Elephas maximus indicus: one gene and its partner. The protein of the gene in region 1 interacts with the protein of each later gene in a biochemical or structural test. Links are inferred from orthologs where the notes say so. Each region holds a gene or a part of one and is shown in the gene's direction. Other genes may lie near its edges.

Region 1 (4,233 bases):
CCTTCAGGAGGGTGACTGACTACTCACTGTCTAGCCCTATTCACAAATGGCATCACTGCGCATTCAGACACATATGAACTCCGTTGTTTTTGTTAGTTGGTGTGTGGAGTCAATTCCAACTCATGGTGACCCTATGTGTGCCAGAGTAGAACTGTGCTCCACAGGGCTTTCAAGGCTGTGACCGCCGGAAGTGGATCTCCAGGCCTTTCTTCCGAGGAACTTCTGGGTGGGTTTGAAGCGCCAACCATTTGGTTGGTAGTTCAGCGCTTAAGCGTTTACACCAGCCAGGACTCCTAGATGAACCCCAGGTCTGCATACTGAAAATCAGGCGTGTCCACCTACCCCCAGCCCAGGATCTCCAAGGGCCTGGTCTGTTCTGTCAGGATATTCCGAAACATTCTCCTAGACGCCATTTCTCCAACTACAACTACGAAGCGCGCGGCACACACAGGGCGCCGGGCATGTGACTGTCCCCAGAGGCCCGGCGTGGCTCCCGCCCCTAGACGGGGAGTCCAGGGCACCCCGACTCGGGGGAGGGGGAGATCGGAGTGGCTGGCGCGCTCTAGGCTGGGACTAGGGTGAGGTGAGTGAGGCGCTCCGCTCGTCTACAAAATTTAAGGACGTGCTCCAAACCCAAGTAACCAAGATAAATAATATCTAAATGCAGTATTAACAAAAAATTCCAACGAACAACAACAAAAAATGCACTATGAACAAAATACCGAAGTGCACAAGAAAGACAAAGATGTGTCTCGCTGGGGCGGCCAGGGCGGCCTCACGCTCCGGGACACGAGCCGCTGGCGCGGTCTGGGGAGCCCCGGGGGCCTCCAGAGCCCGGCCGGGCGGGGGGAGGGGGCGGGGCGGGATGGGGCGGGGCCTCCCTCCCTCCCCCCGCCCCCTCCCTCCCTCCGCCCCCCTCCACTCTGCCTGCCTCCCCGGCGCCGAGTCCCTTCCGAGGCGTGATCCGCGCCGCCTTTTCCCGCGGTCCGCGCGGGGCCCAGCTGACGGGCCGCGTTGTTTACGGGCCGAACAGCCTCGCGCCCGCCGCCCGCCAGCCGCCCGCCAGCCCAGGTGCCGCCGCCGCGCGCCCGTCAGTCCGTCCAAGTGTCCGTCTGTCGGTGCGTCCACCGCCTGCGGCCGAGGGCGCGCGGGACCGCCAGCCGGGAGCCGGGGCGCAGCGCGGGCTCCGGGCCCAGGGACCGCGAGCCGGGGCCGGGCCGCGCCGCTGTGTTGGTGGCGCCGAGGCCGCGCGCCCCTCCCGGGCCGTTGCTGGGGCCCTCCCGGGCGGAGGAGGAGGACGCGCGGCCACCGGCGCCTCCCGGGCGGGCGGCCGCTCGGAGCATGACCCTCGCGGTTGGGCGCCGCGCGCTCTGAGCTGCTGGGACCCCGCGCTCCCGCAGTCATGGGCTCCGGGGGCCAGCGGGGGGCGGCGGCCGCGCCGCTGCTGGTGGCCGTGGCCGCGCTGTTGGTGGGCGCCGCCGGCCACCTGTACCCTGGAGAAGGTGAGTCTGGGGCGCGGGGGTGGGCGGGGACATCGCGGCCGACGGCACCCCGCTGTTCAAATGAAGTCCCCGCTAGGGCGCGAGGGCCCGCCCGGGAGCGGGTGGCCCGGACGGTCGCGTCGACCTCGCGGGGGGCGGGAGGCCGCTGACCTTGGCCTTTGCCCGCTCGGGCTCGCGGCTCGGCTCCCCGCGCGCCTGCCCCGGGCCGAGGAACCTTGCCCCAGTGCCCGCCCCGCGGCGGGCGCCTCTCCTGAGTGCGCTCGGACCCACTCCTGCTCCTCCATCCCCACTCCCCCTTCCCCCGGTCCCGACGCGCTCCCGAGGCGGGGCACGCGTCCTCGCTGGGTCGCCTCTGGGAAGTCGGATCCTAAGGTTCGGGCGGCCTCCGACAGCCCAATGCCTGCCTGGCGTGCACACACGGTTGGATGCAACGCAGATAGTGCCGGACTTGGGGGGGGGGGCGGTGTTCTTTGGGGTTCCCGCTGCTGGGTGGCGCTGCCCCTGGGTGGGGAATTGTAGACCCCTCGTCGACTCCCAAGAAGCCCTGGTCGTGCAGTGGTTAAGCGCTCCCTGGTAACCAGAAAGGTTGGCGGTTTGAACCCACCAGCCTCTCCGCGGGAGAAAGATGTGGCCGTCTGCTTCGGTAGAGATTACAGCCTTGTAAACCCTATGGGGCAGTTCTACTCTGTCCTATAGGGTCGCTATGAGTTGAAATCAATTCAAGGGCACATAACAACAACTCCGATTTCCTTGGGATTAAGCTGGTGACCACCACTACGGTCCGCGTTTACACATTTGTGTCCTGCTTCCAGATATCCTGAGCCAAACTCTAGCACCGTGGCAACACCTGCAGCCGTTGTAGTAACAACTAGGGGTGGCATACATCATGGTTGTTATAAATAGTATCACTGTATGCCTGGGGTTGGTCCATCTTATTTCTCTGGACCCTCACAGTGGCCCCTGGAGGCTGATAGTGCTATTCCCCCATTTCACAGAGGCGTAACCTGAGGCTCAGATAGCTCACAGAACTCACCTGCTCCAAAGTCAGTGCCAGAGCTGGGACTTGAACCTCTGTCAGTGGGATTCCAGGTCAAGGCTCTGGTTTGCAATCCCTCGCCCTAGGTCCCCTAAACCCTTCCCACCCCTCAGCTTCACCCTTCATGAGGGTTCTTTCCCTGTTAGCCCTGGGAGTGTCTCTGGCCTTAATGAGCCTCACACTCCCCCTGGCCCCATGGGCTGCCCTAAACCCCTACCCCAGCATCCTCCTTGCTCTGCTTGTGGGCCGGGACTGATATAATTGGGATTTCCCACCATGGGGTCTAAAGCTCTGCTTTAAACATATCTGTTGGGTTACTTCTTCACCTATCTCCATAAAAGGAAATAGATCATGGGTGGGGAAGGGGTTAGAGAGGGAAGTCATAGAAGCTCCTGAGTTCCCTGATGTAAACGAGGTAGATGAGAAAGCATAAGCTTTGAAGGTAACAAACCAAGTTTGCTGAGTGGCTGTGCCACTTGGTTTCTCCGAGACCCTGAGTACCTGGTAGGCATCAGGTCTACCAGGTAGACTGCGAAGAGTCGCAGTTGGTTTGGGTTCTCATTAGGAAAACCCAAGACGAGTGATTAGACCTGTGCCCGGCTTCTTGTATGTGCACGAGTATGAGTGTGTACTTCTGCCTGGGCACGCTTGTGTGTGTGTGTGGCTCCTCGCGCTTCTGTTCCATCTAGCTTTGGTAATTAATTGTGGATCTGTGCCTGGGCTTCCAGGCCTCAGATTTACTGCTGCTTTCTGTATTTACGGAAACCCTGGTGGTGTAGTGGTTAAGTGCTACGGCTGCTAACCAAAGGGACGCCAATTCGAATCCGCCAGGCGCTCCTTGGAAACTCTATGGGGCAGTTCTACTCTGTCCCATAGGGTCGCTATGAGTCGGAATCAACTCGATGGCACTGGGTTTGGTTTTTGGGTTTTTCTGTATTTACAGCTTCCATGAGGTCAGGGGCTTTTTGTCTGTTTTGTTCACTGTTAACATTTCCAGAGCCTAGAACAGTGCCTTGCACATGGCTGTGGTTGTTAGGTGCTGTCCAATCCATTTTAACTCATAGCGACCCCGTGTGAAAGAGTAGAACTGCCCTGTAGGGTTTTCTAGGCTGTAATCTTTACCGGAGTAGAGTGCCAAATCTCTTCTCCTGTGGAGCTGCTGGGTGGCTTCAAACCATCAACCTTTCCGTTAGCAGTTGAGTGCTTAACCGTTACACCAGCAGGACTCCTTTGGCATACAGTAGGTGTTCAGTAAATGTTTCTTTTTGAATGGGGCTAGGAACAGAGCCTCCGAAGGAGCTGCTTGTTCGCCAGATAATACTTAACAGTAAGAGCGGACACTTAGCAGGCGCTGTTCTCTGTGCTGTGCGTATATAACCTGAGTTCATCCTCGGGAAGTTGTTGTTGTTGTTGTTGTTAGTTGCCTTCCATTCGATTTCGACTCATGGTGACTCCATGTGTGCAGAGTAGAACTGCTCCACAGGATTTTCAAGGCTGTGACATTTTGGAAGCAGATCGCCAGACCTGTCTTCTGTGGTACCTCTGAGTGGTTTTGAACTGTCAACCTTTTGGCTGCTAGTTGTAGGGCCTATTATTATCCCTTTTTGCAGATGAGGGGCGCCCTGGTGGTGCAGTGGTAAAGAGCTCCACTGCCAACCAAAAGGTCGGCAGTTCAAATCCACCAGCTGCTCCTTG
Region 2 (4,233 bases), on another chromosome or scaffold:
CAGAAACAAATGCTAAAAGGTGCCTAAAAAGGGCTTCAGGGTCCCTGGGTGATGCAAATGGTTAGGCATTTGGCTGCTAAACGAAAGGCCAGAAGTTCAAGTCCACCCAGAAGCACCTAGGGTGTCTGTCCGGCATGGCAATCTACTTCTGGACAAATCAGTCACTGAAAAACCCTATGCAGCACGTTTCTATTCTGACACACATGGGGTCACCATGAGATAACAATGGGTTTTCAAAAGTGCTTTGGCCTGGTAAATGGCATTGAATTCTTTCTCTGCCACTTACCAGCTACCTGGACTTTGGCAAATTATTTAGTACCTCCAAGACTCAGTGTCCAAGTCTGTGAAGTGGGTAGCTCCCAGTAACAACCTTAGAGGGCCAGGGTGCAGACTGAATGAAAGAATGAATGAGTGCTGGCACAAAGTATGTGTTCAATAAAAGTAAGTTACTGTTGTAGCTTTTTAAAAAACAACATTAAGGCCCAAAAAAGACATATTATTATTTTCCTCTTTGTATTATAATTTTGACAGCATAGACATAAGTAATCATATTAACGACAATAGTTTCCATCAACGCGGGGGTTCATTCCTGCCAGTGACTTTATGTTATGGGTATGACCTCATTTAACCCCCATGACTCTGAGGCCTGTGTTCTTATTAGCCCATTTCAAAGATAAGGACACAGGCTAAGCGACATTAAGGAAATATTCTGGTCTTCCCACTCTATCACCACTCTGATACTCACTTGCAGATGGGAAACTGAGGCCCAGAGTGGCAAAAGCCGCAAACCCACTGACTATGACTGACACTGGAAACCCAGGTTTCCTTTTCCTGGCCCGGGGACCGCCATCCCCACGACAGAGTACGGGCAGCTGCAATTTATCTGTCTCGTCCTGATGAAGAATTTTGGACTCGCCCAAGATGAAGAATTTGGACTGGATCGTTAATACTCCTGAGTTTCAAACATTCACTTACAAACTGCCTTTTGAAATAGTTCCGATCTCTCATTAGCTCTCGGTTCCCGCGTCCGCCCCGGCCCTAGGGCAGCAGGGGGAGGGGGTTCCGGGGCTCATCCACGGCTGCCTGTCCCTCCTCGCTCGCCTCAGGCACGGGCCGCGCAGACGCCGCCGGCGCCGCCCGGGGGATGCTCCGCCGAGGCCCCTGCCTTACTCTGCCCCGACGCCCTGCGCGTCACGCCCGGGCCGAGGCCACAGCTCCTCCCGCCGTGGCGGCTGCCCAGCGGTCCGGGCTGCGGCGGTGGCGGGAGGAGGAGCAGGAAAGGCGGCCGGGGGAGGAGGCGGAGGCGGAGGAGGCGGAGGAGGGGCGGGCGGGGCTGGAAGAGTTTAAAGCCCATTGGGGGGGGCGGGGAAGGCAGGCACGGAGGAAGGAAGGCAAAGGAGCTGGAGGCGCGGCGGGCCGGGAGGCGGCCGGCTGGACGGCGAGTGCGCGCCGCGGGCGGGCAGGGGTCGGGCACGGCTCTGGGAGACCAGGCGGTGACCACGCAGGACCGGCGGCGGCGGCGGAGCCAAAGTTTTCGCGCAGTCCTTCGGCGCGGCGCCGGCGCGGGTCCCGACCGGGTGACGGTCCTGCGCGCCTCTCTCAGTCCCCGCGGGGAGACCCAGCGCGGCGTCCGACCGGGCGGGAGTGTCGCCCGCGGCCACGCGGAGGCGGCCGGGGAACGGCGCCCGCAGCAGGTATGGAGCGGCCCCGCCGGCCGCGCGCCGCTGACTTGGGCGGGGAGCGCTGCGGGGAAGTTACTTTGTCGCTTGGTGTCCTCCGCGGGAGGGGCCGGGCTCGCCGGCCGGCCTGCCGGGCCCGGTTCGCCGGGAGCGGCCGGTCGCCGGCATTGTCTGCGCGCTCGCCGGCAGCGGCCAGAGCCGGCGGGCACCCCGGGAGGCGCGGGCGGGGCGGAAGGGCGTCGCCTCCGGGCGGGGGGCTCAGCCGCCCCGGGCCCGAGGCTGGAGGCACCAAGAGGCGGGGACTCGGGATGCGAGCGAGCGCGCTTGGAGCCGGCCGGGCGCTTCGCCCGGGGCTCTCTCCCGACTCCCTTCGCGACCCCTTGGGGGAGGTGTTGAGCGCAAACGGTGCATTCTTGAACCATCTTGTCAGACGCTAGCTGCACTCGCGGTGGGGGTGGGGGCCGAGGCCGCGCTCCCGGGGGGCTGCCCCGGGCTCGGGGAGGGCTAGCCGCGGGGCGCTTCTGCAGCCCCCTCCTTCCAACTGAGGTGGGGGCCGCGACGCTCGTGGCCTGGCCAGCCGCGGGGTCAGCGGTGCACGGGCACTCCCAAGTCCAGAGCGCTGCGCGGCCTGGGACTCCGGCCCGCGGGGAATTTTTTTTTTTTTTTTTTTTTGGCTTTGTTAGTCACCCCGTTACCCCCTTCTGGGCCTAACATCAAGTTGAGGGCTCGCGGATTAGCCGCCGCGCCAGCCGTGGAAATGTGATAAGAGCGATACCGTTTGCAGAAGGAAATTTCTGATGCAATGCTCTGCCTTTTCTGATTGCCTCTCCAAACGCCTGCCTGGTGACGGTACTCAAGCATGTGCGTTATGGAAATTAGGGTATTTACTTTTTATGCGGCTTTTCTTTTTTCGGGATTGGAAGAAACGCTACATTTTTGTTGTTTGCTTTGACTGAAACCTTGGGTAATGTAGAGGAGCCACAGGTGACTTTTACACGGCCCTGAATCTTTAGGATACATTTAAGAAATGTTTTCCTGCAAATGTAGTACCCCGTTTCATTCAAGAGATGCAAAGAAAAGAACCCAAATAAGTAGCGCTCTTGAGTAAATATGCATTATTGCACAACTTTCTCTTTGCTGCTGTTTAAAAGGCCAGGCCCAGAACACTTTGTTTCTGAAAATGCTGATTCAGCCGTTTGGAGCTCCTGAGTTTCAGAAGCGGTGCCGTATTTAACGTTTCGCTCAGTTTTTACCAGGAGGAACACATGTCAGCGCTGCAGCACAGCACTGACCGAGGTGTGGGCCACAGTGCTAGTCAGTTTTCCCAAGTCTTGACCAAGAGTTTCATCTTTTCTTTCTTGGAGGAAAAATAGGTGGGAGCTAGGTTTCTGCAAGAAGAAATTCTGGTCTGTGGCAACGGTGAAATGTCTTTTAGGGGAGTGTGTTGTTCTGTCAAAGCCATGAAACCAAATGTATCTCCAGGAATGCTTCTAGGTGTCTTAGTAGTTCTGTTAAAAATCAAAACTCTAGGATTACTGCACATACTGTTTGAGTTTTACCAGGAGCATTTGAAAGAAGGGGCCACACAGGCCAATCCCTAGATTACAGGGAGGGGATTTGAGGACAGACCAAGTCACACACCCAGCAGCATTGCCTGTGTAACTGAGAAGTGTAGCGACTGACACTGCTGTAGCATTTCAGTTTACAAGGCACTTTCAAAAGCCTTGCTGCTTTTAATCCTTCTACAGCTTCCTGATCCCCATTTTACAGATGTGGAAACCAAGGCTCAGGAGGTTAACGGGTATGCCCAAGGTCCCCAAACAGCAAATGGCAGAGCTGTACCTGAGCCTAAGCCTTGAATTCTTTTTAGTCCTGTGTGTTTTATACTTCTGCACAAGTACATCCTCTCAAAAAGGGTGATGGCAGCAGGGAGGAGGCACACCCCTCAGTCACACGGACAACTAGGAGGACCTGTGACCCTTGTTTAGCCCCCGGCACCAAGCATTCAAGATTTCTGCCCTATTGCCATGCTGCCGTCAATATTTTTTTTTAGCCCATTCACATTGTATACTTAAAAGTTGTTAGCTGCCTTTCAGTTGGCTCCTGACTCATGCAAATGGGAACAAAACGCAGCTTGGTCCTGCTCCTTCTCCATGATCAAGTTGTGGATTGGACCGTTGTGATCCGTAGGGTATTCATTGGCTGATTTTGGAAGTAGGTCGCCAGGCCTTTCTTCCTACTCCATCTTTAGTCTGGAAGCTCCACTGAAATCTGTTCAACACCATAGCAGTACGCAAGGCTCTACTGACAGGTAGTGACTGTGCCTGAAGTGTACTAGCCAGGAATCGAATTCGGGCCTCCTGCATGGAAGGCAAGAATTCTGCCACTAATCAAAATGCCTCACGTACTTAAGTAGGTGTTTATTTTAAGAAGAACCTTTGATATTCATGAAGTCATGGGTTTAATATGATAGTTACGTTTTTTGCGAGTTGTGTACCCCTAAAGTCACCTGTTGGGTATCACTCGTGGTTTGCTGCATTGCTTTTGTGGTAGT

Evidence for each region. The genes of interacting proteins can lie anywhere in the genome.
Region 2: the proteins of INSR (region 1) and GRB10 form a complex in vitro, tested with the Homo sapiens proteins (5 studies listed by BioGRID and IntAct). The link is inferred for Elephas maximus indicus from reciprocal best matches to the Homo sapiens genes INSR and GRB10.

The regions. Positions count from the first base shown.
Region 1 is NC_064821.1:11,906,690-11,910,922, reverse strand, and holds the start of INSR (insulin receptor), read left to right. Parts: upstream 1-1,391; 5' UTR 1,392-1,402; coding exon 1,403-1,502; intron 1,503-4,233. UniProt on the Homo sapiens protein: Receptor tyrosine kinase which mediates the pleiotropic actions of insulin.
Region 2 is NC_064826.1:112,568,736-112,572,968, forward strand, and holds the start of GRB10 (growth factor receptor-bound protein 10), read left to right. Parts: upstream 1-1,386; 5' UTR 1,387-1,694; intron 1,695-4,233.